Mus musculus: one gene and its partners. The protein of the gene in region 5 interacts with the protein of the main gene of each other region in a biochemical or structural test. Links are inferred from orthologs where the notes say so. Each region holds a gene or a part of one and is shown on either strand. Other genes may lie near its edges. The genes, in order: Trip12, Trim39, Cop1, Trim32, Ube2d1, Znrf1 and Rnf8.

Region 1 (3,500 bases), on a different chromosome or scaffold from region 5:
TGGGAAAGAAGACATTAAAGTCTTAATAAACATGGTAACTAAAGAAAGAATGTTCCAAAAAGAAGAAAAAAAGAAAAAAGGAAAAAAAAAAGGCTAGAGTTTTAAGAAGGTAACACTTTTAACATATGAGTGATTTTTAAAGAGAATGACTGAATTAGCAATTAAGAGTTCTTGCTACTTGGTTCCCAGCCCCCACGCCAGGTAGCTCACAACCTCCACCTGAAGTAGACCTAATACCTTTTCTTCTAGGCACATACATGAACACTCAGGCATACAGACATTAGGATCAAGTGAAGGCTGTGACTCCACAGGCAAAATAGGTCCTGCCTTTACTTTGGAAAGATCAACATAAATACTCTTGGGAAATACTTACTTTTTTTCTATCCAATCTAGGCGCAACTCTGCTGTCTTGAGAATCAGACTGGTTGATTTCTGGGTTGGTATCAAGTAATCTTTGCATTGCCCGGTCCCGATCAAATGCAGTTACATAAAAAAGCATTTGTCGGGTATCAAAAGGAAAGAAAAATGGGCTATAAAAGATAAAATACAAATTTACCATCTAGGTGAGAATCAGAAGACATTTTTAATCTATATTGGACACAACATCTAATATAAACTCCTAGCAAGAATAGTCCTCTTAAATCTCTCATGTGGACAGGCCCATGGTGGCGCACCACTGCAATATCACAAATGTTTCTTCCTGAAATCCCACATACAAAAGGTAATGGCTTTAGTATTTCATGATCTTCACCACAGGCTTAGCACTGGAAAGTCATTGTCAAGAACTAATCTCCCAGCATTCCAACAGTGACTTTGAAGGGTTGATCCATTTTTTTCTTTTTGTAAAAAGCTCCTGAAATGCTAATTTAAATGTGTTTGGTACAATGTCACACCATGTAGATATGGTGAATCCACATAAAAACTATTTCTAACTTGATTTTACCATAATTGGTCTATAGTATCTAGTTCAAACAAGGCTAAAAAACAAACAACAACAAAAAGCAATCATGTATCTGCAGTTCCATTTTTACAAAGGCAAAGGACTTTACTGCGGTCAAATATCCTTCAATGGGTTCAACAAGTATTGTTGTCAACAAGTATTATAATACTGGTAAAGAGCTGAACAAATCAATTACATCTTTTCTACCACAAGTCATGATAAAAGACTATCATGTTAATATTTATAAGTTTATCAAAGGACTGTCTTACCAGGTTTTTCCTAGCTCAGTGAGCCATGTTGGGATGTTTCCTGTCATGATTACTAGAGGGTCTTGAAGCTGCCTATTTGCTTTTGCTGTTAATTTACTGTTAATAAATTCACTAGTTGGAATAATCTCCTTGCACATCGCATTCTGTAAAATAAAATAAATTCAAAATCTCTTTCTATATCCATAAATGGGTTGGTCCATAGCTTTCATCTGTTTTTAAAAACAAAAACATACAATACCCGGTTCCTCAATGGTGTTTCTGATTTCTGAAAATTCCTACATCAAAACCTCATAAAGCTATTCCCCTTCACTATTCCCACACTATGTATTTAAGAAATGAGGTGTTCAACTCTTTACATGAAGAAAACGTGTGCTGACTTGATTTATGTCAACTTGACACAAGACATCTGAGAGAACCTCAACTTGGTTTTGGTCATGGTGTTTCACCACAGCGACAGAAACTTAAGAAATTGGTACTAGGATTTTGAGGTATTTCTATGCTAGACCCTGACCTTGTTCTCTTTAAGGGGACTGTGGAACGACCTTTTAAACTTTGGGTTGAAAAAGCCATTGAGCATTCAAACCCTGGTGATCTGTACTGTGGAAGTTGAAGATAAAAATGTTGAGAAATACAGAGAATGTAGTTAGGCCTCGCTTGTGAAATTCCAGAGGAAAGTTTTGAGAGAAGATTACAGACTTTATCAGGTCCATTGCATAATTTGAATTAAGAACCTGTGGCTCTTATCAGCTAGGGCTAAGACTCAGCTGTGATTAACAAGATACCAGTACCACTGAAGTGAAACCTTTGCTACTGGGACAACAGATGGTGGCTAGGTGGAGCTGTAAAATTAATGGTGATGAAAAAACTAACATCACTGAGATGAAATCCTCTGAGGAAGTGTTTCCTTGGAGTGAGCACACAACAGCTGTGTTCCAGAGGTGACCAGGGTTATACCTTGAGCTGGCAGCTGAACTTGGTAGTTTAAGAGTCACCCATGTGGTACTGGTTTTGAAAGCAAGAAGGGGTCATGAAGAGCAGCTGAGGTCTGGCACTATGTGGCAGGACTCAAATTGCTGAAGAGATAGTGAAAGTATATCACAGTTGCAGAACTCCCTAACATTTTGAAGGTGCCAATACCATGGCATAAGAACAGCAGCAGCAGGGAAGTGGAGCTTAGAAGACATGCAGTGTTTCCTGCAGAGGAAACCAGAAATATGACTCCCTTGAAGGAACTCCAAAAAACTGAATGAATCCCAGATTTTGGAAACTGAGTTGTTTATAGTTAAGAGTTTGATTTTGCTTTGTTCAGACTGTGGCTATGTCCTCTTGAAGAGAGAAAAGTATTTAAAATAATTTTGATTTCAACAGGAGGTGACAAGACTGGATTTTTTTTCTTTTTCTGTCGTGTGTGTGTGTGTGTGTGTGTGTGTGTGTGTGTGTGTGTGTGTGTGTCTGTGTGTGTTTCTATGTGTAGCCCTGGCTATTCTAGAACATGCCCCTTAGACCTTAAACTCAAGAGATCCTCTGTGTCTGACTCCTAAGTGCTAGGATTAAAGGCATGCACAACTTCCACCCAGCATTTTTAAAAGACTGAACATTTAATGTATTGGAATTTGTAAAGGCTATGGAACTTTAAAAGTTACTTGTTTTATACTGTGATGTTAACATGCAATCTTTGGGGTGAATAAGAATAAAAAATGGTGTGCTTTAATAGTGATATGCCTTTGTGTCTAGTTTTATGCCAACTTGACATAAGCTATCCTCATCAGAGAGGAGTGAGCCTCAATTAAGAAAATGCCTTCATAAGACTGGGCTGTAGGAGGACAAGCTTGGTGGCATACACCTTTACTCCTACCACTCAGAAGTAGAGATACGAAGATTTCTGAGTTCCAGGCCAGCCTGGTCTACATAGTCAATTCCAGGGTAGCCAGGCCGTAATGAAAGACCCTGTTTCAAAAAAATAAAAACAATGAAAAAATGAAATATGAGTTGGAGACATAGCTCAGTGGTTAAGAGCGCTGATTGCACTTCCTGAGGTCCTGAGTTCAATTCCCAGCAACCACACAGTGGCTCACAACTATCTGATGCCCTCTTCTGGTGTGTCTGAAAACAGCAACAATGGTCTCACATAATTTAAAGACATGATTTAAAAAAGAAAATTCGGCTGCAGGCAAGCCTGTAGGACATTTCTCAATTAGTGAGAGATATGGAGGATGGGGGTAGGGGTGGGGGTATGTGATGTCTCAGTCCATCATGAGTTTGGCATGGATTCTGTTAAGAAACAAGCAGGC
Region 2 (4,527 bases), on a different chromosome or scaffold from region 5:
TAGGGTACTCCTCACTGTTCTCAATGGAGGACAACTGACCAGATGTATACAGTCAGGAAGGGACTACTCAGAGTATATTCTCAGCTGCCCTCCCCAACCCCCAACCCTAGCATCATGGGCCTGGCTGCCTACCTTGTATTCCTGTGTAGCATCATCCATCGGCACGACGGTGTGGGGCCGGTGGGTATGAGAAATTGCACATATCAGACAGACAGCCTCCTGGTCTTCATAGCAGAAAAGGCTAAGAGGTTCGTGGTGCTGGGAGCAGAGGCTTTCATCTCTGATCTTCCGCTTGACCGTCTGGAGCTGCTTGGCGATTTCCACCATACTGCCTAGCTGTCGGTTAGGCCGGAGACTCCGGTATCGGGATGTCTTCCGACAGACAGGGCAAGGGAAGTCCCGCTCTAGGTCTTCCCACCAGCGGGTAATGCACGCTTTGCAGAAGTTGTGCCCACATTCAATAATAACTGGCTCCTTCAGATACTCTAGGCATACAGAACAGCTTGCTTCCACCTGCAGGTTCTCCAGAGCAGCGGCTGTGGAGGCTGCAGAGGTTCCAGCCTCTAACAGACTTGTCTCTGCCATTATAACTTGGAGGCAGGGAGAGAGGAAAGAAGTGTTAGTTGGAGGGTTATTTTGTTTCCTGACATTAGCTCCCAGTAAGCCATAGGTCTAGATGAAGCCCCATCTTGGTATTCTCCCATTTCCACCTTTTCATCTGTTGGTCTATTTACAGTGTGTGTGACCTCTCCCCATCACTGTTATTATTATTTTATTATTATTTTGAGTCAGCAAATATCAGCAGTGCCCAGAATTTCTTTACCTCTGCTTTTTCAATACCAGCAATGAAAAGGAGCCTGATATGGCGACTGAAACCCATTTCCCTAGCCATTTTTGAGGTCAAGGTAGGGGGACTGTCATTAGCTGAAGGCCAACGTAGGCTACACAATGAGTTCTAGGTTAGCTTGAATTACACAGATCTTATTTCTACAGGGAGGGAACCATGGGAAATGAGATATGTCACATAAGCCAAAGTATTAAGATTTTAGCTGGGCATGGTGGCTCACTGTGAGGCAGGAGGATCAATACAAGAATAAGGCTAGCCTGGGCTGTAGAGTAAGATTTGTAAAACAAATAATATATCTACATATCTATTAAAACTGACTATCAGCCCTAGAACTCATTACTACTTTAAAGAACTTCATATATAATTACTGCATCGATTTCAAAGAACCCCAAGCTACTTCTTCTAACGTCATAGGAAGTTTATTGTTTTAGAGTCTAGCCTTGATTGTCTGCTGTTCCTCTTAATGAGTTACACTACAGTAACACACTGTTTCAGGGAAAGCATGACATGGTTCTTCCTTTCCCCAAACTAGCCCAAAGGAAGAACGCTCTCTTCTTGAAGATGCTCCTGTCACTCACCGCATTTCTATTTGTGTGCAGCTGGGATGGCTGCAAAGCAACAAATACATATCAGCTCTAAGGAAGCACCATTGAGTGCATTGAGGGCAGCAGCTTCTTGGAGAGAGAGCTGGCAAGTACATTCTAAACATTCAGTGGTGACTGCAGTCTTTCAACGTCACTACTGATAACTAACTCCTTAGATAGTCAGTGATTAGGAAGGAAATTAGCCAGGTATGGTTAATACTAGGTAGGTAGCGCATGTACCGAGGAGGCAAAGGCAGGAGCCTCAGGAACTCGAGGCCAGCCTAAATTAAATATAACCAATAAATAGTTATTGGTCTCAATAAATGAATAAGTGTATGGAAAGAGACAACCAAAGCTCTCCATTCTTAAGATGTCAATACATAAGTAAGCTAATTTATCTGGTCCCATAACCCCCTACTTTCCTTCTGTCCCAAAAGGGGCCCCCCAAAAAGGAAGGAAATTTGATAGGTCTACCCATCGACAGAAAAGTGCCCATGTAATGAATTGGGGCAACAATGATTATTTCTGTATACTGGTGGTACAAATGGAAGGATTTTAAGTAGGAGTTGGTAACTTATCCTCTTTTAATGGAGAAAAGAATTGATCCAGATAAGTACAGTTGGATGATTTCTTTCTTCTCTGCCCATTAGAATCCAGTTTTGACTAGTGACTTAGCCTCCTCCTCCTCAATCCTACAGATAAGTGGCATCCTCACCTAAAACTGAACCATATTCACACTTGAGAGACCTGCATGTATCTAATTAGCAAATAGATGGTATGAGAGAGAAACGGGCTCAAGGATAGTGAAGAACGGAGAGGATTTGGAGCTGGGGGTGGTGTGGTGGTGGTGTAGAGGGCAGCCATAATATGGCCTTGTGCTCCTCTGGCTTGATCCTTCCTCCCACTCTCCATTACTCGATCTCAGTGTAAGTAATCGCGTCAGAGACGTCCACGTTTTGCCTTTAATCACTATTGGGTACCACCTCAGGAGCCTCTTTCAAGCACTGGCCACAACTCTGTCCCACCCGTTCTCCATCTTCTCCAGCCATATCGGGAGCATGAGGACCAGAGTGAGGGAGCATACGTCGTGCTTGGCAGGGAGGAACGGATGCGTGTCTAAGTGAGGGAGAGGTGTGACGTGAAGGTGGGATGCCCGCTGCCATGTCGCAGCCCAGACCCGCGATGACTGCGTCAGTTTCACCCGGGGAGACCAAAGGCAGCGGGACAGGGGAACGGCGGGGTAGCCAAGCAACGCCGGACGCGCTGACGTCGCCGGGGCGGCAAACGTCCTCCGGGCCCGAGGCGGGCGGAGGCAGCTGTGGTTGCGCGCCGGCCGGCTGACGTACTCGCCGGGCGTAGGGCCGCGGCGAGAGGAGCCCGCTCGCTGGAGCCGGCTGCGGGACCCTTGTGGCGGCGGCGCAGCACCTACCTTCCCGGCTCCGGGTCCCGGAGTGCCGGGCGCGGAGCCGCCGGAGCACTGCCTCCCTCCTTCCTCCTCCCCTCACCCCCGCCCCGCGGCGCGACACACAATACTCGCCGGAAGCGGAAGCCGCGCTGCGGCGATGGAAGACAGCTGCGCGGCGCCGAGCCGCCGTGCCAGGGCCTAGTCGGGCCCGCGGCGGGTGGCGGGCGGAGAGCCGGAGGCGAGGGCCTGCGCGGCTAGTTTACCGGGCGAGAGGGAACCCGCCGCTTCCCGTGGCTGAGGTGCTGGCGCCCAGGTGACCAGAGCGGTCCCCCGGAGACTGAGGGCCGCGCATGCGCGTGGCGAGACGCCGAACCCCATGGCGGGCAGCGCGCCGTGGCTGGGCTGGCAGAGCTGCGCGGTCAGCGAGCCCGCAGAGGCTCAAGCTGGTCCTCGGTGGGGCTGGGAACCGCAGAGGCCTGGGCGGCTACGGGTTGTGGGCGTTGGGCCACACTTTCCCGGTCTCCGGGTCAATTCTGGGGGAGGGTTGCTGTTTAAGGCGGCGGTGTATTACGTGGCCGACCTGAGAGTCTATGCTGGCACGTCACTTCCGACTGGCTGAGGTTTGGCAATTTAACCGGCAAGCTGTAGTAGGTGAGTTATCTTGGCTGCAGACCGAGGTGCGTCTTTTCCCCTCCTCCGGTTGGGTGATGTATTAGCCAGGGGTTCTCTAGAGCTACAGAACCTAGTGAATGTTTCTCTCTCTATAATTAATCGTGATGACTTACAGGCTAACCCAACAATGGGCAGCTGTGGATGGGAAGTCCAAGAATCTAGTAGTTGCGCAGTCCCACGTGGCTAGTTCTTTCAGCTGGTCTTCTGTAGAAGTAGGTTCCGACAGATGTGCTGGCAAGTAAGTGCAAGCCCGTGAAGAAGAGAATCTTCCTTCTTCCTATGTCCTTATGTAGACTTCCAGCAGAAGGCGTGGCCCAGATTAAGGTGTGCACCACCTTGTTTGGATTTGGGACTTGCTTTCTCCCGGGCTGACTTTGAACTCAGAGAACTCCTTGCCCCAGTCTGGGATTGAAGTCGTGTACTGCCTTGCCTGGTCCTAAACTTAATGGCCACTGTACCTCAAGATCTCCATGTCAAGATCCAGGTCAGAAACTTGTGTCTTCCAGCCTCAAGATCTGGATCACAGGTGAGCCCTCCAATTCTGGGTTGTAATTCCTTCCAGATAGTCAAGTTGACCACCAGGAGTAGCCACCACAGCTGACATTAGCGAAACGCTTTCCCTGGCTGGAGCTGGAGTGTAGAAAACCGGTCTAGTTCGGTGCTTTGCTGCCCCTGCATCTAGGATGCCAGGAGGACCAAATCCTGTGCTCAGGAAACACTGGGTGGGAACCAAAGCCTGCTTCTTTCTCTTTGAAGACCTTGCTTAAGTTTCTCTGGGAGAGCAGATGGAGCTTATGGATAGACTCCAGACTTGCACATTGGCCTCCTTGTTGTGTTTTATAAAAAGATAAGGAGAGAAGGAGTGTGTTTGGTGGAGGTGTAGTCAGGTGTGGGAGGAGGGGTGCCTCTGCAGGCCCATGCTGCCGCATCCCTCCCCCCTGAGGGACCAGCCACACGATGACGATGGCATAGTATAGAATAGAGTTTATTCAGGGAATGGGGAGGGGATTTGAGAGGGT
Region 3 (3,843 bases), on a different chromosome or scaffold from region 5:
CTGTTTCTGTTGTGTGTGGCTATGCTGAATTTCTAGTTATTTTGTCTTATATTTCCTATGCCTCTTTAGTTGCTACTGTGCCCTGCTTACTGTATTTTAAAAAGCAAAAGAATAAATGAGAAAAGTAAGTATGTTAATTTTCTCTTATAGATAATTTAAGTCTGTGTTCTGGGCCCCAGCAGTCCAGGACCCCTCAGTCAATTTCAGGGATTCACAGGATCTGAAGTTGATTTCCAATGTGACAGTTTATCTTTCACTGTTTTACCCTAGACCACATTTCTTCACTTAAAGTCACACATGCAGTGTAGCTTAGGAACACTCGACTCCAACTTCTCTGAGTGTAGCTCATTCCTAGTCTGGAGAGTCTTCTGTCAAGTCTTAAGGCAAGTGAGGACATGCTAAGAAATGACCTACTCATTAATCTTGTTGTTGTGGAAACATCACATCATGTACTTATGCAAAGCTCCATTGTCCAGCCCAACTCTGTCCCCGGATATATATAAAATCTGTTGCTCCTAAACTACAATCTATATTATATGCTACTATATTAATACTAAGTAGTAAGGAGACTGGTGATATACTTAGAATTAAGTGTTTGTTTATACAAATAGATATAAAATGCTATGCTAAAATATGGTACAGAAGATGCATGGCATGTTATATTTACATTTATTTATATTTATACCTGGCAATGACACTGAGAGAACCTTCCAGACTGAAAGCTGCTCAGCATGAGTCAGTGTGCAGCAGTGACTGTTAAGGGCTACATCAGTGTCATCGAATAGACACTAATAGTACACTAATGCTATACTAACTATAAAAACACTGCCCCCGCCAGGCATTGTGATGCCTGAAAAAAAGAGAAAACCAAACCATTTACCCAGCTATACCTTAAAATCCAAGACAAAAACAATAAAACAACCTATTACGTGCACTCATAAACATTATATAAAATGCCATGATTAAAATACATATATGAAAACTTACCCCGTCTGATAGTGCCCGCCAACACACAGCACTGACAAATTCATTTGTGTCATCTTCTTTCCGATCTTTGTCTAATACACTCTTAACGGTATCAAACTTAAAAGTTAGCAAAGTTTTAGAAAGTCCTTTATAATACAGGTAGAGGGAGTTGTTCTCACTTCCTAAAAAGAAAATGGAATTGTTTTAGAATGGGAAAACTTAGATTGCATAAATATGTCTTTGAGTCTTTCTATATAGCACAGATTGTTCTTAAACTCACAATTGTTTCTTTCTACCTTTCAGATGCTGGGATCATAGGTGTATGGCCATCACGGCCAACTAGAATTACACTCTATCACTCTGCGCTGGAAACTGAATCTAAGACTTTTAGCTACAGTGAACTTCATTTCTAGCCCCAGTTCCCAAACACAACATTTAGACAGTGATTATTTATCTAAATTTTACTAAAAACACCAATTATCTTTTATATTCACATTTGAAAGACAAGATTATAAGACCAATTAGTTGCGAACTACAGGAGAAAAGGTACAACTATTATTTACTAATTTAAAGAAATAAGCATTGTTAAATGGTTTACAGTGTTGATAATTCTAAAACTGAAAAGAATTTATATTTTAAAAAAACACTTATAGCAGAGCTCTGTGCATTAGAATTTTCTTACTGAAACAAGAATCCTAAACTGCATTTGTAAATATTACCATGAAGAGAGGAAAATTAGGGTTGTAGTTCTTAAAAGGCCAATTTGAGCCAGGCAGTGGTGGTGAACGCCTTTAATCCTAGCACTTGGGAGGCAGAGGCAGGGAGCCTGGTCTACAGAGTGAGTTCCAGGACAGTCAGGGCTACACAGAGAAACCCTGTCTCAAAAAACAAAACAAAACAAAAAACCAAAAAAACAAAAACAAAAACAGACCAATTTGAGTAGCCCAAACTGATTCTCCATTCCCCACATAGCATTACCCTATCAGATGAGAAGTCAAGCTGACACACTTCAGGAGCCTCTGAGGATAATTGTACTGCATATTTACTTTGGTGGTATTTAAGATCATATATTTGGAGAAAATACAATTTATAGAATAAGGGCAATATCATTTAAAAGTGTTGACAGAAGTTCATTTACTCTATCAGAACATTTGAACAATAGCAAATTGAATTTTTCCACTTCCCATTTAAATTTGCACAAATTCTCTATAATAAAAACTCATGAATTAGATTCATGCAAGTCAAACGACTGCTACATCAAAAGGACACTAGAGAGGGTAAAATAAATATCAAGCTTCTGAAAAGATGTCTTCTTGAAATACTACTAGCAGATATTAATAGTTTCTACAGAAACTGTGGCATATCTAAAATGACAAGAGGGCAGTGAAAATCTTTGGCAAGTCTATGAATACAGGGCTCATCTGCAGAAATGAAAACTAATTCTCCCCAGTATGGCTAGAAAAGAAAAGAACACCGTCCTCAGCATCAAGGCTGTGATGCTGCCTTCCCAGTGCACAGACTGCAGTGAACACTGCTAGGACACGTCTTTGCAGAGTTTGTTTAAAAATACAAGTGCACTTACCACACGCTATATAATCTCCATTGGAAGCAAGGCCTACAAAGTTTTTTTCATTAATATGACCCTTGAAGGAACGTAGACAGTATGGTTTTCCCACATTCCACAGCTTTAGTTGGCTGTCTGTTGAGCTGAGAAAAATACAAAGAGGAGTAAAAATTTTAGATTTCATGGTATGAAACTATCACCACTAGGAATTAAAAAAAAAAAAAATCTAGATTTGTGGTTAAAAAGGCAGATTGTGGTGCCTGTGTATCATCTGAGTCTTGTCCCAATTGGCTCCAGTTTTAACAGTGAAATATGACATATGATGATCTATTTTATAGAATTAAATGAACCCAACACTGTAAAAACCGAACTCGTTTAACATGCTTTCAGTAATGCCTGGGTATGCAGAAAGCAAGCATTAATGGGTCCAATCCCAGCATCCCACCATTACATTAATAAATAATTAGACTTTGCCCTGAGAGATGTGTCTCACTTCAGGGAGACCCTCATGCTTCTCACTGTGATTGATCTGTCAACTGGTGAGTTACTGGTACAGTAGACATAAATTATTTTCATGCTATCCCCTACAGGTAAGAGGTATTGTTGCTGCTACATGATGCAGTCTATTGTGCTCAAAGAATATATAAATCTAGTTGCTTACCCAAAACAACCTCTTTTTTTGAAAAAAAAAAAAATCACTAGTAATTCTAATAGACAAAGGCAATTTTAAAACTGATACCATTTTGCAAACTGCTTTCCCATACTGATTTGCTTTCTTATACTTTCGTTAAGGGAATATGTCAATATATTAAGGACTACATAATTAAATCTTTTTAATTACATCTATCATCACTGAATAGGACACTTCGATACAGGTTTTACCTACTTTATTAAAGATTAAAAAACTTAGTGCTATTGTTAGCCCCATTTTGGAGATGAGAAAACTGAGGTTCACAAGGCTGTAAGTGAATAATTCCAAGATCTAAACGGTTTGATTTGAGCATTTGAGGTCTTTTAGAAATGTGCTTTAGGGGTTGGACATCAGAGGTGAAGTGCAATGGCTGGTCTTCCAGAGGTCCTGAGTTCAATTCCCAGCAACCACATAGTGGCTCACAACCATTTCTAATGGGATCTGATGCCCTCTTCTGGCATGCATGTAGGCAGAATACTCATATACATAAACTAACTAACTAAATCTTTAAGAAACGCACTTTAATCTGTTTCATTCCAGGGTTGCAATGGATGTTCTCTTATGTTTCCTTTTACAATGTACTACATTTTTAGGTTATTTACTGCCTATTATATTTATTCTA
Region 4 (4,570 bases), on a different chromosome or scaffold from region 5:
ACACAGAGAAACCCTGTCTCGAAAACACAGACCAAAAGACTACTTTTACCTGCAGGTAAGAGTTGGCTTAGAGGTTGGTAAATTCATCCAGGAATGACTTTTAAAACATACCTTTCTATCAGAAAGGCACAATGGAAGAAGTCTCCCAAAGGTAACACCATCTGCATACAGGAGGGTGCACTCTAGGAGGCTTGCCAGCATGTGACTTCTGATTTATATGCCCAAATTAGCCACTTGCTCTGTAACCCAGGATATGTCATTTAACAAGTGGCTCTTCACTTTCTGCCTTGTAGAATCAGGAGTAACATTTAGATTGTGGGCCTTATGGAGAGAATGCACATTAATCAGCACTCAGCCGAGCTCGCTGTGTTTTCAGACAGAGGCTGGCAAGTGCTTGACCACCAAGCAAGCAGTAAAACAGCCGATTCCACGGCCAACTCAACCTCCGTCAGGTGTTTTCCTAAGCGATCTGAGTTGATGTCATCGCAGCTAAGTGTTCTGCCCTCAGCTCCAGTCTAATTTTGTTCTCTAAACTGCCTTCTGTAGCGTAGCTAGGATTGGAGTTGATAAAGACAATGCTGCCCTTCTGTGCCAGAGACAAGATGCACAAAGGAGAACATTCAGAGCAGTTTCCTTCCGTCTAGCACTGCCCTTGAGCCTGAGCCCTCCTTATCTCAGCCGTGTAGCTCCAAGCTCCTTGCACTATCTCCCCATTGGCTCTGGTCTAAGAGCAAAGCAAGAACAAAGTCCAGGGCTTCTCTTAATCAAGAGAAGTCACCCAGCTTCTGACTACGGGGCAAGCCTCCCTTTCCTTAGGAGAGGCTGCAAAGGGAAGACCAAGCCGACCGCAGCAAACCAGCAATGGAAGAGAGGATGTGGCGGGGAGCTACATGGCAGGAATGTGGCTTTAGACAAGTGACCTCCTAAGCCTTAGTTTCGTGGGTAACACTGAACAGTGAATGTATATTTAGAAGGAATATCATGAGAAGAAAGCACACATATTTTCAAAAGTAGTAAATTCTGAGCACTTTTACTGGGCACCAAACAGTAAGCACCCTGATTTAGTACACTGAGTCCTCACAGCCATTCTATGACGTAGGTCCCTGAAGAGCTTGTGCACTGAGAGGTCAATTGACTCTTTAAAGGTTACAAAGCAGAAAGAGAAAAATAAATAAATAAATAAATAAACAAATAAATAAATAAATAATGCCAGGATCTAACCAGAGCATTCTTGACTCTGATGCCAGGACCCATTTTGGCATGACTGCCATTTCTAGCTAAATGATAGTTTATTGTAGGGGTTGTTCACTAGAAACCAGTATCCCCCCCCCCAAGTATCCCCCCCCCCACACACACACAACCCCTCAACTATGACAACTGACAATGCCTCCATCCAGACACGGTCAAATGTTTCCTGGCAGAACAAAAGCACCCTGTCTGAGAACCCTGGCTTTAGGTAATGGCACAGGCTAAATACTCAGTAGACAGGAGGCTCCGCCTTGTTCCAACCTTGTTTTGTTTCTCACCCAGAACCATTGTCTCTGTGAGCTATAATGGACCTCCTATAAGATAATATTAGGTTGAAGATCATTTTGGCTCATACCTTGGACAGGGAAAAGGCTAGGTAGCAGAAGCCCTTAGGTAGTTCACTGCTTCTTCCCCAAGGCCTATAATATCGGGTCTGTGATGAGGAGGTGGGGGTGGTCAGAGTGGGTATAGTCAGAATACATGCCTGCCTCAGGATTAAAGGGCCTTTAGTTAGTAAGTGAGGAAGAATCTGCCCTTCAAAGAATGTCAAACTCTCCTTCAGGATTTCTGAAGACTGGTGTCTTTATTCCCAAACCCTTACATTCTCCTAAATTCCATTCATTTATACATAGTTTATTTATAAATTACTTTCAGGTCCCTGGGTCTCCAGAAGACCCTCTGGGTTCAGTTATGCCAAGACCAAAACAAAAACAAAAACAAACAAAAACCTCCTAAGAACCTACTCACAAATTTCATTTGGTTTTGAATTCTATAATCTAGTTACAGCATTCACTCCCCACCATTCATTCTCCACAAACCTCATTCTCAACGCTAAATCCCAAATCTATCATTCAACCTTTTAGACTGTATGCTGCAGCCTTGCAATTCACCAATAGCTCTTATGTGTCCCTCATCCCTCCAATACATCCTTTAATCTATTTTCAAATTCCCACATCTATCACCCCTGTATGCCATCTCCAAACTCCAATCCTGTACCTCAGATTTCTGCCCTCCTTCAATCTGATCGCTCATCTGCCCATCATCCCCATCTTGTACTGGGCCACCTCCAACCCCCGCCCCCCACCTCCGCCCCCGTCCTGCCTCACGTGTTGCCTTCAAACCTTTGCTGCGATTTTCTAACTGGGTACTGATTCCCTCGGGAACTCACCCCTCAGTCTTTCCCAGATTCCGCTACAGAAATCCCTTTCTCTTCAGCAATTAGGATCTTCCAAGACCTTGGCTGTTTTGATCTCAGATCTTGCTATCATTACACCGATCTCCTCAAAGCCCCTAAGATTCTGCCCGCCAACACCCAACCTCATCCAGGCCTGCCAAATTCCTTTATGCTTTCTGATATTCTGCACCCAGATACCTCCAGGGACGTCAGATCCTCCCATCTCCCACATGCTGCACCCCGTCTCTCCGCATGGCCCCCACATTACCTCATACCTCCCGACATGCTGCAACTGCAAATTTCCTCAGCCCCTTTGCTCCCCTCCCCCAGCTGCATCTCATCTCCGCCGAATCGCTCCTGAGCCCGTCCCTTCCGAATCCGATCCTGCCACTCCGATCCAGTCCCCAAATCCTGCCATTCAATCTTGGATCCCCGCGACCCACCACAGTCCCTGGTCGCAGACCCTCCTTCCCGCCCCCTACCTGACCGCCCGCAGCTCCGACGCGAGTCCACCGCTGCCAGCCCACCCGCCCGCTGCCTTCTGCGCATGCGCTAGCACGTCCTTCCCATGGCAGTCGCCAATTCGTACAGTCGCCTGCCCGTCAACTTGCCCCGCCTCCCGAGGCATGCTGGGGCTTGTAGGTCTGTGGGCTCAGCGCCCGCGGCCCAGCTGAATAGATAGGGATGGCTCCGGAAACCTAGGCCATTGCAGCTTTCTGCCCCGTTTCAGAGTCTAAACATGGTTAGTCAATGCTAATCCCCCAGTAGTAGTCTCCAGAAAGTTCGGGCACTTTGCAGACAGACGCCTCTTTGAAGAAGACAAGCACACTCCCTTCAAAGAGCTGCAGGTCCCCGGGCTAGGTGTTTCTGCCTGTGACACATCCCAAAGTGGAGTCACTGAACACATGCCCCTTAGGAAAGACGTTTTCTTTGCCAAACAGCGCAGAGGCGGATAGCAGAGGGAGAAACAGGGAAAAGCCTGCATTGAGCCTTGTCAGACGGGAGGTTTTGTGGCCAGGACCTCCTGGTCCTGAAGGTAGTTTGTGGACAGGTAATACCTGCTCCTGAATGCGATAAACACACAGTACTAGTGAGGAATATGAAGGAATCTGAAATATTATGCTCTCATATTTGAAATTCCACCTAGCTGTGTACCCTCTGCACAATGATAAGACAACAAAACAAAAACAGTAATACCTTTAGACACTTTCCGACAGACTACAGACTTTGAAAAGAAGCTGAGACCTAGGGGTTAAAAGGCAAAGTAACCAGTTTCTACCTGTCAGAACCTGGCTTTAATTTCCCAGAATCACTCTTAACTTCATTTTTCTACTTCTTTATCTCAAAATAAAGTTAAGGATTGTTTTGATGAGTTACTAATAACTCAGAAAGGTGGGAAAAGTAAATTTATCCCCTTCCCCCACCTCACTCCCGCCCCTGTCCCACACATCTTGTCCAAGGTTCGGTATACACCTGGCATCGATTTTGATGGAACTCTGAACCAGGCTATTCATTCTCCAACTTGTTTCTCTTCTCAGTGATTCAGGAGTTCTCACATGATTTTATCCCTGGCCGGATTTCCTGATTATACATTCTGAGTACAATTTGATATCTCAGATAATTCTAGAGCCCTGAGCCAACCCAGGCACCCAGAACTCCCAAGGCTTTCCCAGAGAATATGTGACTCAAAGTTCCTTGAAGAAATTATATCTGTGCTGGCAATTCTATGGACTGACCAAATACCTAGAACTGGGAAAGGATAAAACATATTGTAGACACATAGTCAATTTATCTTGGGCTAGCTTTAGTTCTCTTAATGGCCATTTATTAACAACCTATGACTCTGGCCTAACAATCTTCTGACTATAAGGTAAACCATTGGAATGTATAGTTAAAGTTAGAAGACTATGAGCTTCCACTAAGAATGTTATAACATCCGGAAAAGATAAAAGAACTTTCCCTATCTTGCTGTAGCCCATCTACCTGATATCCCCCACAATGCATTTAAGTTAAGACTTAGGAGTTTTTTGTTCTGTGAATATAAATATCCATAGGCCTTTTCCACAGTAGAGTGTGTTATTTGGGATAGATGAGAATCTGTATACAGGCCATGGTTAGTCATATTTGATTCCGAATTTCTTTAGGAGC
Region 5 (3,734 bases):
TATTTCTCTTGCTTTTTTTTTTTTTTGTAAAGACAGAAGGGCAACTATAAACAGGCTTACTAGAAAATCCCTAACTCTAGCAATTTTTAAAGATTTGTTTTCCATTTTTAATTATGTATAGGCTAGAAGATCGAGTCTCCTGGAGCTGGAGTTACAGGTCGTCGTGAGCTGCCCAACCCTGGCGCTGAGAACACTAAATCAGGACCTTTGGAAGAGCAGTATGCACCTGTACTTCATCAAGCCTTCTCTCCAGCCTTTAGTTCCTGAATTTTAAATCTCTGGTTTCATTTAGACTTGCCCATCTATTCATTTTCCCCCACCCCACCCGAACTCCAAAGTTTACTGAAAACCAGCGTGACTAAAGAGTTCTTAGAAAAAGCAATTATCAAAACAGAAGAAAACACAGCAGGTTGAGGTATTTTTGTTTGTTTGTATGATTTTGTTTGTTTGTTTGTTTGTTTGTTTCAACCGCTGGTCCCAATCCTCGCCATGCCTATTTTTAAATCCGAAAAACAAAATTACCTTTCGATACAGTCAAAGCGGGCGACCACTGGGACCTCAGGATGTCAAGACAAATACTCCCGTTGCTGTTTATATTTGGGTGGTAGATTTTTGTTGTGAAAGCAATCTAAAGATAAAATGGAACAAAAAGGGTATTGGTTGCCACAAATAGGAGCAAACAGAACCGATCCACTCAAGGGTAAAAGGCGCTCATCTTTACACAGCTTTGGAGCAGACTTGTATACGCGCAGCTCAGCCCCTGGGAATCCGAAGGAGACCAACTTAGCTTAAGCTCCTTTTCTCCTCCAGGCGTTGGGAAGTGTCTGGGGTGTGGTGAGAAGTCTGCAGTAGCCGGTATGATGGGCTGAGTGACACCTGGACCAATTACTCTGGCTTTCATCACACCTCAAAACATTTCTCTTAACCTGACTGTCAGTGATACCCAGAAGGCCACTTGGATCTATAAACAGGACACAGAATCTGTCAGGGCGGACGTGGGATGCCTCAGCTTATCGCCTGTCCTTGGTGAACCACAGAGAAGCCGGGTCTTGACAGAGCCACTGTTGTGTGACGTCATCCGTATGATTTTTAAGCTGGGTGGTTTTTAAAGTGCTATAATTATTTCCCTGATGGCATATAAGTTCCTTTCCTTCCTTCCTTCTCACCCCCACCACTTGCCTCTTCTTTGGACTTTAAACCTCAGAAAACGTGTTTTCATCCCCTTCTGCCTTTCAGTGTCCCCACTGTGAGTCCCATCGTGAGGGGAACATGATGAAGCTCAATGTACATTCACTGAATACTTAAGTGTAGCCTGTAATTATAAAAAAACAATAGAAAAAAAAACCCAAAATGATCCATGCTATGGCCAACTAGGCACTGGCAACTGAGGTCTCCCCACCCCCATTCAGGGGGCCACAGGGGCGGATAGCTTGGGAAGTCCAGAGTGGTTTTACCAAGGGAACCAGGGCTGACAGCCGCTTGGGGATCCCCTTGGGGGTTGGGGACATAGCCGTTGTGCAGCCAGCCATAGCATGATTTTTTTTTTTTTAAAGTACACACTACACTTAAGAAAGCTGGGTCTGTTTTGGAAAGGTAACATTACGGATGGAAAAGCCTGCTTTCCTGACTGTAAAAACATTCCGAACAACTCATATCTCACAAGGAGGAAAAGCCCAGGAGCCTAGCAAGCATAGGAAAACAGCTGACTAAGAAAGAGCATTCTAGGGACGGAGAGATGGCTCAGTGGTTAGGAGTACCGGCTACTCCTCCAGAGGACCTGGGTTCAATTCCCTGCACCCACATGGCAGCTCACACCTGTTCTGTAACTCCAGTGCCAGGGGATCCGACACCCTCGTACAGACATACATGTAAGCAAAACCCCAATGCACATCAAATAAATTAGAAAAAAGGAGGGAGAGGAGGCTGCAGGGGAGAACTTTAGACCTGGAGGTCACACAAAGGGGCATGCACTTGCTAACCTACCTATGGTCTGTGACGTCACAAGATCACTCTAGACAAACAGTAAAAATCCCTGCTATGGGACAGATGCACAGGATAAATACCTTTGGTGGTTTAAAGGGATAGTCTGTCGGAAAGTGGACAGTGAGGAAGAAGACTCCACCTTGATAGGCGCTGTCAGGCTGAAATTACACGAGAGGGCGCATCAGACTCTGGCCACGGCACATACTCAACCCCTCTGAATGGTCCCCGGGAGTTAACAGTGGGAAGGATTTGCAGTTTCTTCACAATTCCACCAGTATCAGCTTGTAAAAAAACCCCACGATTCTTGCACCATGAGTTGGAGGAATTTCTATGGAGAACAGGCTCCTTCCCAGGTATGAAGTTACCCAAGGGGCCCACCAAGTTTAAAGGGAAGCACATGCGCATTCGCACAGCGGTGTGCTTTAACCAGACAGATCATGGGTCGAGGCCTGTGGGGAGGAAGGAGGATTCTCTAGAGCAGTCATCGCTGGTTTTAGAAGGTTACAACTAATATTTACCTTTTTAAATTTCAAAATATTAAGTTCTAATGTCTACACAGGTACAACCAAAGGGAAAAAGTGAGTAAGAGGGTTAAGTGGGTACCATTGTATGATTTACCTCAATATTCATTTGCAAGTAAGTACTTTATATTATAGAAGATAAAACTCTAAAACCAAGCTGGATGAATTCAGTGTTCATGATATGTTGAATTAAGAATCAACTTTAGTGTAATGGGGTGTGTGTGTGTGTGTGTGTGTGTGTGTGTGTATGTACATGTGTGTATATGTATGTGTGTATATGTACATGTGTATATATGTATGTGTGTGCGCATATGTGTGTATATGCATGTGTGTGTGTATGTATACGTGTGTGTACATGTGTCTACATGCAATTTATATAAACAAAAGAGAAAGATTAAGGGAAAAAAACCAAAATAGTAGCAAAATATATTCCAAATTCTATTTTTTATAATTTATGTATATGAGTACATATATACCCATATTTTATGTGTATGACTATGATATCTTCATGCACACCAGAAGAGTGCATCAGATCCCATTACAGATGGTTGTAAGCTACCATGTGTGACTGGCATTTGAACTCAAGACCTCTGGAGGAGCAGCCAATGAGTGCTCTTAACCGCTATGCCATCTCTCCAGCCCCCTCAGATTGTACTTTTAATTCCTTCATATTTACTGGAGTGCATCATGGGTACTAAAAACATGTGTGTCATTCTTTCAATCCTTAAAGTTCTAAGATTAGAGGGTTATATTGTCTAATTATTCTCACTACGTTGCTTAATTCTAGTTCATTAAACATTAAAAAAAAATGTAAACAAATGACAAAGACAAGCATGGTCCGCATGGACAGTGGAGTGACATTACAAAAGGTGGTGGGGCGGGTCTACACTGCTGCAATAAGAGAGTCATGCAAAACAACATCCCAACTGCTTGTTACACATGATTCACCTGAGATGTGCCTCTGTGCCACAGCTCTGATGGAAGCACACTGTTGGATGATGGGGCTTTGAAGGTTCATGCAGATAGTGAACACTGAGCCGGAAAAGAACTTACGTTCTTATTGAAAGCTGCTAGGTAAATATGCTGCGCTCTCGCTTCTTAATAGGCTAATTTAGTCATTTAGGATCATTCCTCAGGGGCTCTTCTTTGAAATTCAGCATCTTTTTTTTTTTTCCCCCAGTTTGGATTATAGGGCAAACGATTTAAAATTCGATGACTGAGTACATAAAG
Region 6 (4,435 bases), on a different chromosome or scaffold from region 5:
AAAAGCCATTTGGGAATTCAGAGGCAGTATGAGGTGAACTGCAGGATGCCAGGAGCATTCAATAGGCCCAGAGTCTTGCAAAAAGCACAGGTGGTTCTATATACTAAAAATAAGTAAATATATACAAATATTACCTATAATGTTAACAAGAGCCTGCCACGTACACTTTAAAGACACCCAAAGGATGACTCTAACTTTTCTTGTATTCCCATCACTCAGTGGGACTCCCTACTCCCGTGACTGGGTGGGAGTAAGATGGTGGGGAGAACACTAAGCCTTCATATCTGGAGAGTGTGAGATATTGGAACTCAGTTGTAAGTTCATAACTCTATCAGAGAACCTGACAATAGAACAAGGATAATGAAGTTTCTATTAAGAGACAGACTTAAGAAATCTTACCAAAACGATAACTCCTTTTCTCCCTCCCCATATAAGCTTTTATAAAGGTATTTGCTTGCTGCACTCAAAATTGTTTTAAAAGCATGCCAATAACAGTTCACTTACAAGTGTACTCATAATCGTCTCGAAATAAAGCTGAGACTTCTGGACTCAACTATTTAGGGAAGATTATTAATTCCAACATGCCCAACACAGACCAAATGACTAGAGGGTACCAAAAGCAGACATGCCTTGTGTCTGATGTCCAGCATTTTAGTTAAAGTCAAAGAAGCTCTAAGCCAGCCACTATAACCCACCAAAGTTACTTCAAAAATTATGGAATTGATCAAAAGAAGGAAAGATACAAAACCAAACAAGACAAAACAAACCCTACCTTGTTTTGCAATGAGCTACAACAGTGACCTCACAGGTAAGCCCTCCATAATGGACCCTGAGGACAGGAGAATGATTTCTCCTACACAGCAACAAAAATTGCCCAGTTCAGGCACAAGAGTCTGAATACTTAACTGCTTCACTCAGACTGGTAGTTAACAAGCAGCAACCCCACACCCCTTTTGACCAGTTTTCTAGAGGCCTGCCCTGGCTTCTCAGGACAGCCAAGCAGACAGACCTGTTTTCCTGTAGAAGTCTCTGCCAGGCCTTTGCTGCCCTACCACCAGCCAGGGCCTGGGAAATCCCCCTCCAGCCTTTTCCTGGCCTGTCACCAGAAGTGCACAGAATGAGTTCATCTCCATCCTTTCCATCTTCCTCTTCCCTAGTCATGTGCCAGCTGTGGGGCAATACCACCCCACCTCTCCTGGGCTCTATGAAAAGAAAAAAAAAAAAAAAGATGCACAATCACGGGAAGAACAAGCACTTATCGTGGAGCAGGGGAAAAAAGATGGAGGGATGTGAGAATCCCTGAGCCAAATCTACTGCATGCAGACCAGAATCCTGGTCCTGCAAACCCAAAGACGGAGGCTTTCCACATAGCAGACCACACCTGTCTAAGCCAGCCTCCTGTTCCATTTTAAACAATTGATACAGCAAACCAGTCGGGTGGAAAAACAAACCACCTCCCTTTCCTAGCGAGAATAAGAACCCTAATCCAAGAATCACTCGCCCCTAGTTTTATTTCTTTTCTCACTCTTTGTTTAGGAGACACTACCTCCTTAACCAGAAAGGTAGGTACCATGCTGCAGCGGCAGAAATGAAGAGTCTCAGACAAGAAGACCTTTGAGGATCATGACGCTAATAAATGCGACCTCAATAGGCAGGTTTCACTCAGCCATCCACAAGTGAACACATGCCTGCAGTCCTAAGGTACCCGGCTCCACACGCCTAGTAGGCAGCTTTCCCCCTAGGCAGTAGTTATCTTATTTGATCCTATTCATCCTCTGACATGGAAGGAACCAGGGGAAGGGCAGGAGTTAGCTTCATACCCATACCTTAGCACATTAAGAGGTTTCGGGCGCCCCGGCGCGCCCTCCCTTGCACTCCACCCTTCAAGGCCTCCGTCACCCGCGGACTCACCACTGTGCGAGCTGAACCACCTGGGTGCGATGTGCAGAGGTAGAGCATCCGCCAGCGAGGCTCGGGAGCCCAGGTACAGCATCCCGTCTCTATGGTGACCGCCGCCGGTCTCTTGGTAACCATTGCCGTGGGCATAGGTGGAGTCCGACGTGGACCCTCCGCCGCCCGGCGCCCTCTCGGAGTCGCCGGTCCCGCGGGAGGCGGGGGTGTAGAGACTAAAGGGCACCCCTCCGGCCGTGCTGGGGTCCATGCCCATGCCCGCCACCGAGCTGACCGAGCGGCTGCGCAGCCCCATCGCCCCGCCGCCCGTCCGGTAGTGCCCAAAGTGGGGCGCCCCTCCCGGCGGCGGCACGGCGCTGTCATCCGTAGAGACCCCCGGGAAGGGGCCCCGAGAGCGGGCCGCCGTGCTCTGCTTGCCCCCCATGTTCGCCGGGGCCCCGGTGGGGCGGGAACGTGGAGGCTGAAACCCTCCCCCACTACTCAGAAGCGGGTGGAGGTCTGGGCGAACATAAAGGCGGAGGGTTGGGGTTGGGGAGAGTCACAAAAGAGCCCCGAGGGGAGAAAAATGAAAAAAGGTGAGGGGGGGAATCCTCAAAAAAAATCCGCGGGGTGGAAAAAGCAAGCGAGCGGGGACCCCAAACTAAGAATTTCAAACTGTCCAAGCCGAATGCATGTTCCCCTTAAGGTCCGAAGAAGCGCGGTCCAGAGCCGGCGCCTCGCGCCACAGGCCGCCCCCGGGCTCCGGAGCCTAAGGAGCCGCAGCGAAGGGAGGGAGGAGCCGGAGGAGGCCGCTCGCCCGCAGCAGGAAGCGGCGGAGGCTCCGGGCGCCGCGCCGTTCGCGTCCCCCGTCTCAGGACTCCTCAGCCCGCGCCGGCGGCCCTCACTCCTCCAGGCTTCGGGAGGGCTCGCGGCGGTGGGGCAGCCAGGCGGAGCTCTGGAAGCCGCGGTCGCGTGGCGTCGCGCTCCGGCTCCAGCCGCCGCCGGCCCCGCCAGCCAGCCGCACCGCCCCGCTCCGTCCCGGGCTGCGCTCGCCGGCGCTCCTCGCCGCCGTGGAGACAATGGAGGGCGGCAGAGCGCACGCGCGGCCCGCGCCCCCTCCCTCCTCCCGCACCCCCCCCCCCGCCGGGTTAACCCCTTCGCGGCCCCTGCGGCGCAGCAGCGAGCTGCGGCCTTGGAGGTCCCCACCCACCTACCGCCTGCGCCCCGGGCGGTCCAGGGACAGGACGTCTCCAGCCGCCGGGCGTCTGCGACAGAGGTCAGACTTCCTCTGGATCACAGCTCTGCTGGAGTCGCGGCGAAAGTCGAATCAATGTCTTCAAAACGAGACCCTGAGTGGGGGGAGGGGTAACGACGGTTTTAGCGGGTAGGAAGGAAACACCGAGAAGAAAGAAAAACCAACTAATAAAGCCTACCTGGGTTTGAAGGGTCACTGGGGGAGCTCCCCTCCCGCCACAGACCTGCCCTCACAGCACCCTCTGGTGGATATGCTGTCCATTCGTTTGGAGGTTCTCCATCCAAGGACCCCAGCCAACCTTAGGAAGTTTAGCATGGGGGGCGGGGGGGGGGGGGGAGGAGGGAATCAGCTTGGACCCAAACACATTTGGGATTAGCTGTTAGGAGATACAACAGTGCCCCAGTGGCGCCTAGACTTTGCTGTCGTTAGATCAGAACCAACTATTTGGGTCTGAATCGATTCCTTAGGCTAGAATATAATCCTCAAAATCAATAGGTGGATTAAAAAAAAAAAAAAAGTAAGAACCATGCAGCGGGAAAGCTGTTTTAGAAACTCCTTGCCCAAGGCCGATTGCTGTTTTGTTTATCATGTATTTTGACATAGAGCCATATTTTGACATAGAGCCACAAGGCAAGGGCACAGTACTCAATAAATATTTGTTGACCAAATTGCATTTTGCAACAGAGACTCACCTTGCCAGGTCAGTCCCAGTCTTTCTCATATTTTCACTTTGCTTATTCTTTGAGCAAATAATTTTTCAAGTGCTCAGCTCTGAGCACCGTAAGCATCACCCAGTCACTAACCTGACCTTCTCTTGTCACTCTGTCAAGTGGGCTCCGTGCTTCCGAAAATGGAATTGGAGGGAGATTTAAAGGGGCTAATAGACTTGTCTCTTCCAGTGTGACTAGCCTGGAAGGCCACAGAAAGATGGTTGTTTGCAAGCACAGAGTGCTGGGGGTGAGCTAAAAGCTTCGAACAAGCTGGGCAGTGGTGGCCTATGCCTTTAATCCCAGCACTTGGGAGGCAGAGACAGGAGGATTTCTGAGTTCGAGGCCAGCCTGGTCTACAGAGTGAGTTCCAGGACAGCCAAGGCTATACAGAGAAACCCTGTCTCGAAAAAAAAAAGAAAAGAAAAGAAAAGAAAAAGAAAAGCCAATGCAAAAATTTTCATGGCTGTGGTGCTCACCTTAATCCCACCACTCGAGAGGTAGAGGCAGGACAATCTCTGAATTCCATGCCAGCCTGGTCTACAAACCAAGTTCCAGTACAGCTAAGGCCACACAGAAACTC
Region 7 (3,843 bases), on a different chromosome or scaffold from region 5:
AGCAGAATTCTCTTTAAAGGATAGTGGGTTCAGAGAGGAGAGTGACTGGGATTAATATCCATGGCTACTCTGTGCTGAAGGGACAACTGCGAAGTCTTTCCTGGGACTCAAGGTTAAAGGCAGAAGAGACTGGTTGAGATGCATGCCTGACGCTGCGTGGGAGCTCAGCTCCCTCTGCCCTCACGGTAGCCTGGCCTGACATTGGGTTTGGAATTCTGCTTGGTATTAAAAACCCAACTTTTTTTAATCATTAAGTAATTTGTGCTCCCTATTAGCACATTGGAAGAATGGTTGGCTGGCACATCAAATTCCAAATGAGTTGAAATCCCCCACCCTGTAGGTAATCCCTAAGAACAGAGACTGCCTGAAAGAAGCTGGCGGAAAGGCAGCGGAGGCTCAGGCCTGGGCAGAGAGTGCTTGGAGAGGGTGGGTGGTGCAGAGGGACAAGACAGGGAAGGAGTGTGGGGCCAGCCTTGGGGATGTATCTGAGTTTGGGTGTTTGTGGCTCTGTTCTCAGACTCCATTTATTTGAGTATTATGGCAATAAAAGCAACTTAGACTGTCACCCCGTGGTGCTTCAGAGCTGCCGGAAGCCCACTCCTGAGGCGGGTGATGGTAGTGGAGCAGATAACTGCTCGCATCCCTTGCTGAGAGCAGTTTGAAGTAAACTGGGATCTTCCTGCCCGCTTCCTGCCCCATGTTCCTTGTGGTGCCGGCTCCTAGGTTTTGTTATCTTACACCCTTGACTGCAGAAACCTTCCATTTCGTTTTGGCTTTTCAGGGTTTGGAGAAAGAGCAAGGAGAGTGCGACCTGAAGCAACAGCTGGTGCAGGCCCTGCAGGAGGTAACATAATCTCTACCCTTTCCTTCCAGAGGCTGTGGTGGTTGTGAGTGGGGAGCAGCTAGGCACCACATGGCCACTAGCTGCCTCTGCCTCTGAGCCACTCATCTGTGTTACCGCCAGGCTGCAGACAGAACAGGTGCCAGGTGCTCACACCATCAGGCTGGAGATTTGGAGCTTCACAGATACACAGCAGATCTCAGCGTGGAAGCTTACGGCTTCATCAAGGCACCACCTGGTGATGACAGAAGAGCCTGTAGACGCTCTCTGGGATGGGGACTCTACTTCCAGATTAGTGAGGGCAGCAGTTAGCCATGCCTGGGCCTTAGGGCCCGAGAGAGCCTGTGTACCTCACCATTCCTACACTGTGGCATCCAGAAATCATTCAAGAGGATTCTCCTCTTAAAAAAAAAAAACCCATTAACAGAATAGTGCTTGCTCCTTCTGGTGTGAAGCTCTCCAGCAGACTGCCAGTGGTTTATTTCACTGAACCCTAGTGTTGGGGCCGGCCAGCAGCTCACGTGTCCGGGTTCGAGCCTGAAAGGCATCTTGGAATCTGGAAGAAAAGAGGGAGCCTAGGCGGATTGAGAAATAATGGAACCAAGACAACTATTCTGCTCAAATTTGAACTAGGTTCAAATTTTTAATGGTGGACAAGCTTTATAAAAGACTGGGGAAAGTCCATTCCCGCCAATTCATCCTTGGAGCCTGGAACCAGCTGCAGGTGATGATGTGAGGGATAGGGCGTAGTCTAATAGCTGCGGGGCCTCTCAGCTGGTAGCAGTATCTTGAAGAGGAACAGCGACTGTGGCTCAACAGTCGAGTGATCTAGGGAGGAAGGCTCCACCCTAGATAATCTCCCTAATGGCTGCAAGGTCAGGTTCTGGCTCAGCCTGCTTCAGGTTTATGGGAGGCTACATCCTAGGGCTTGACAGCCTTTTATGTGCTCCTTATACCTTTAAATCTTCCTTCAGCTGGTTATGGAAGCACACACCTTTAACCTCAGTACTCGGAGGCAGAGGCAGGTACATCTCTTGAGTTCAAGGCCAGCCAGGTCTACATAGTGAGACCCTGACTCAAAAAACAACAAAAACTTGCTTCATCTCTGAGCTTTGTGATCAGTAATTTGGTGGATTTTCGGCCGAAAGGTTAGTGAGATGGTTAAAGTCTCATTGAGCACAGTGAGCGGCTTACATATAATTTGTTCAGGGTTCTCTCTGTTTGCTCATTACAGACCTGTCAGCCTTATCGGTACTAACAGTTATGTGAGAGGGAACCTGCCTAGATTTGCTTGTGGGCAGATGCATAAATGGCTTCAGAAATAATTAGGTGAAAATTCTATTTGGATTTTATTTATTTATTTATTTATTTATTTATTATATGCAAGTACACTGTAGCTGTCCTCAGACACTCCTGAAGAGGGAGTCAGATCTCGTTACGAGATGGTTGTGAGCCACCATGTGGTTGCTGGGATTTGAACTCCTGACCTTTGGAAGAGCAGTCGGGTGCTCTTACCCACTGAGCCATCTCACCAGCCCTGGATTTTATTTTTTAAACTTATCTACTTCATGGGTTGAAAGGATAGGCATTGTTCCCATTTGAGTATTTAAATATATGTTTATTTTACTGTCTGTGTGTGTGTGTGTGTGTGTGTGTGTACAAGCATTCACATGGCACTGGAGACTTGGTTGCCAGCACTCAGACAGCTTACAGCCCCTTTAACTCCAGCTTCCGGAGACTGGATACGGTTTTCTTCCTCCCAGGTCGTGTGAACACAGATGGCTTATACTCATACACACACAGTAAATAAAGACATTGTGTGTGACCACGGGTGCTTGTGTACCACAGTATGTGTGACGGGAGCTTTGGGGAGTGGGTTTCCCCCTTCTCCATATGGACTCCAGAAGTCAAACTCAGGTCTGCAGGCTGCACTGCAAACACCTTTACCCAATGAGCCAGCACACTGGCTTCCTAGTGGGTTTTTTTTGTTTTGTTTTTTTCTAGACAGGGTTTCTCTGTGGAGCCCTGGCTATCCTGGAACTCACTTTGTAGACCAGGCTGACCTCGAACTCAGAAATCCGCCTGTCTCTGCCTCTCAAGTGCTGGGATTAAAGGCATGTGCCAACACTGCCCAGCGCTTTCTAGTGTTTTTAAACTACTGCTTAGATGCTTTGAAACTGGCCAGAAAGTCAGGCTTTGCCCCTCTGTGAGGAAGGCCTGGGGTTTTGTGCTCCCTTGTAGCACACCGCACCTGTCTCGAGGCTTGGTCATGCAGTCACGCATCAGTCTGAAGTGGTATCGGGCATACTTTCTGACCTTGTCTGACATCGTGCTTGTGCTGGTGTGGATGACCCCTCTGAAGATACTCTCTTTTTCAGACTGCTAGAACTGTAGAACCCATAGTCACAGTGACACCACTGCTGGCTCTTGGGCGTGCCAGCTCGTAGACGACAGTGGCTGGTCTAATCGATCTGCTGTCCCCTCTCCCCTGTCCTGAGCCGTCCATCCTGAATAAAAGAAGGCTGGTTTTGAAATTGTCATCACTGGTCCCTAAAGTAAAGCGACCGAGCAGAGGGAGGAAGCAAAGGTGTATGGCTAACAAGAGGGTTGGGACGCAGCTCATCCTGATGGCTTACCTGCTCTTTCTGTAGCATCAGGCTCTAATGGAAGAACTAAATTGCAGCAAGAAGGACTTTGAGAAAATCATTCAAGCCAAGAACAAAGAATTGGAGCAGACCAAGGTACGGGATGGAGGACAGAGTGCAGTGCCTGTGGCCCAGCATTCTGTAGAGTGCGTGGTTGCTGTGGTGAATGCAGACGGTGTTCCTTACCTCTGGGAGATAATCTATAGTTACTCACTGTGAGGCAGCATCCCTGTCCTTCTTTGGACCCTGCATGCTAGCCTTTGTCTAGGGCGGAGTCTCCATTCGAAGCTGTCTGTCTCCCCATCAGATCAGTAGAATTCTTAAGTTATATGTTGCAAACATCAGTGCCTCCCAGGG

Evidence for each region.
Region 1: the proteins of Ube2d1 (region 5) and Trip12 form a complex in vitro, tested with the Homo sapiens proteins (5 studies listed by BioGRID). The link is inferred for Mus musculus from reciprocal best matches to the Homo sapiens genes UBE2D1 and TRIP12.
Region 2: the proteins of Ube2d1 (region 5) and Trim39 form a complex in vitro, tested with the Homo sapiens proteins (2 studies listed by BioGRID). The link is inferred for Mus musculus from reciprocal best matches to the Homo sapiens genes UBE2D1 and TRIM39.
Region 3: the proteins of Ube2d1 (region 5) and Cop1 form a complex in vitro, tested with the Homo sapiens proteins (2 studies listed by BioGRID). The link is inferred for Mus musculus from reciprocal best matches to the Homo sapiens genes UBE2D1 and COP1.
Region 4: the proteins of Ube2d1 (region 5) and Trim32 form a complex in vitro, tested with the Homo sapiens proteins (4 studies listed by BioGRID). The link is inferred for Mus musculus from reciprocal best matches to the Homo sapiens genes UBE2D1 and TRIM32.
Region 6: the proteins of Ube2d1 (region 5) and Znrf1 form a complex in vitro, tested with the Homo sapiens proteins (2 studies listed by BioGRID). The link is inferred for Mus musculus from reciprocal best matches to the Homo sapiens genes UBE2D1 and ZNRF1.
Region 7: the proteins of Ube2d1 (region 5) and Rnf8 form a complex in vitro, tested with the Homo sapiens proteins (2 studies listed by BioGRID). The link is inferred for Mus musculus from reciprocal best matches to the Homo sapiens genes UBE2D1 and RNF8.

What each region holds. Positions count from the first base shown.
Region 1 is NC_000067.6:84,738,305-84,741,804, forward strand, and holds part of Trip12 (E3 ubiquitin-protein ligase TRIP12), read right to left. Parts: intron 1,353-3,500; coding exon 1,210-1,352; intron 531-1,209; coding exon 374-530; intron 1-373. UniProt on the Homo sapiens protein: E3 ubiquitin-protein ligase involved in ubiquitin fusion degradation (UFD) pathway and regulation of DNA repair.
Region 2 is NC_000083.6:36,268,477-36,273,003, forward strand, and holds the start of Trim39 (E3 ubiquitin-protein ligase TRIM39), read right to left. Parts: upstream 2,958-4,527; 5' UTR 2,861-2,957; intron 2,302-2,860; exon of another isoform or gene 591-2,301; 5' UTR 586-590; coding exon 133-585; intron 1-132.
Region 3 is NC_000067.6:159,325,907-159,329,749, reverse strand, and holds part of Cop1 (E3 ubiquitin-protein ligase COP1), read right to left. Parts: intron 2,674-3,843; coding exon 2,549-2,673; intron 1,149-2,548; coding exon 988-1,148; intron 1-987. UniProt on the Homo sapiens protein: E3 ubiquitin-protein ligase that mediates ubiquitination and subsequent proteasomal degradation of target proteins.
Region 4 is NC_000070.6:65,603,404-65,607,973, reverse strand, and holds the start of Trim32 (E3 ubiquitin-protein ligase TRIM32), read right to left. Parts: upstream 2,989-4,570; 5' UTR 2,905-2,988; exon of another isoform or gene 2,691-2,904; intron 2,659-2,690; exon of another isoform or gene 2,417-2,658; intron 1-2,416. UniProt on the Homo sapiens protein: E3 ubiquitin ligase that plays a role in various biological processes including neural stem cell differentiation, innate immunity, inflammatory resonse and autophagy.
Region 5 is NC_000076.6:71,257,679-71,261,412, forward strand, and holds part of Ube2d1 (ubiquitin-conjugating enzyme E2 D1), read right to left. Parts: intron 2,142-3,734; coding exon 2,064-2,141; intron 629-2,063; coding exon 523-628; intron 1-522.
Region 6 is NC_000074.6:111,535,041-111,539,475, reverse strand, and holds the start of Znrf1 (E3 ubiquitin-protein ligase ZNRF1), read right to left. Parts: upstream 2,837-4,435; 5' UTR 2,336-2,836; coding exon 1,912-2,335; exon of another isoform or gene 1,827-1,911; intron 1,175-1,826; exon of another isoform or gene 1,143-1,174; coding exon of another isoform or gene 1,010-1,142; intron 1-1,009. UniProt on the Homo sapiens protein: E3 ubiquitin-protein ligase that plays a role in different processes including cell differentiation, receptor recycling or regulation of inflammation. Mediates the ubiquitination of AKT1 and GLUL, thereby playing a role in neuron cells differentiation.
Region 7 is NC_000083.6:29,628,179-29,632,021, forward strand, and holds part of Rnf8 (E3 ubiquitin-protein ligase RNF8), read left to right. Parts: intron 1-781; coding exon 782-844; intron 845-3,492; coding exon 3,493-3,582; intron 3,583-3,843. UniProt on the Homo sapiens protein: E3 ubiquitin-protein ligase that plays a key role in DNA damage signaling via 2 distinct roles: by mediating the 'Lys-63'-linked ubiquitination of histones H2A and H2AX and promoting the recruitment of DNA repair proteins at double-strand breaks (DSBs) sites, and by catalyzing 'Lys-48'-linked ubiquitination to remove target proteins from DNA damage sites.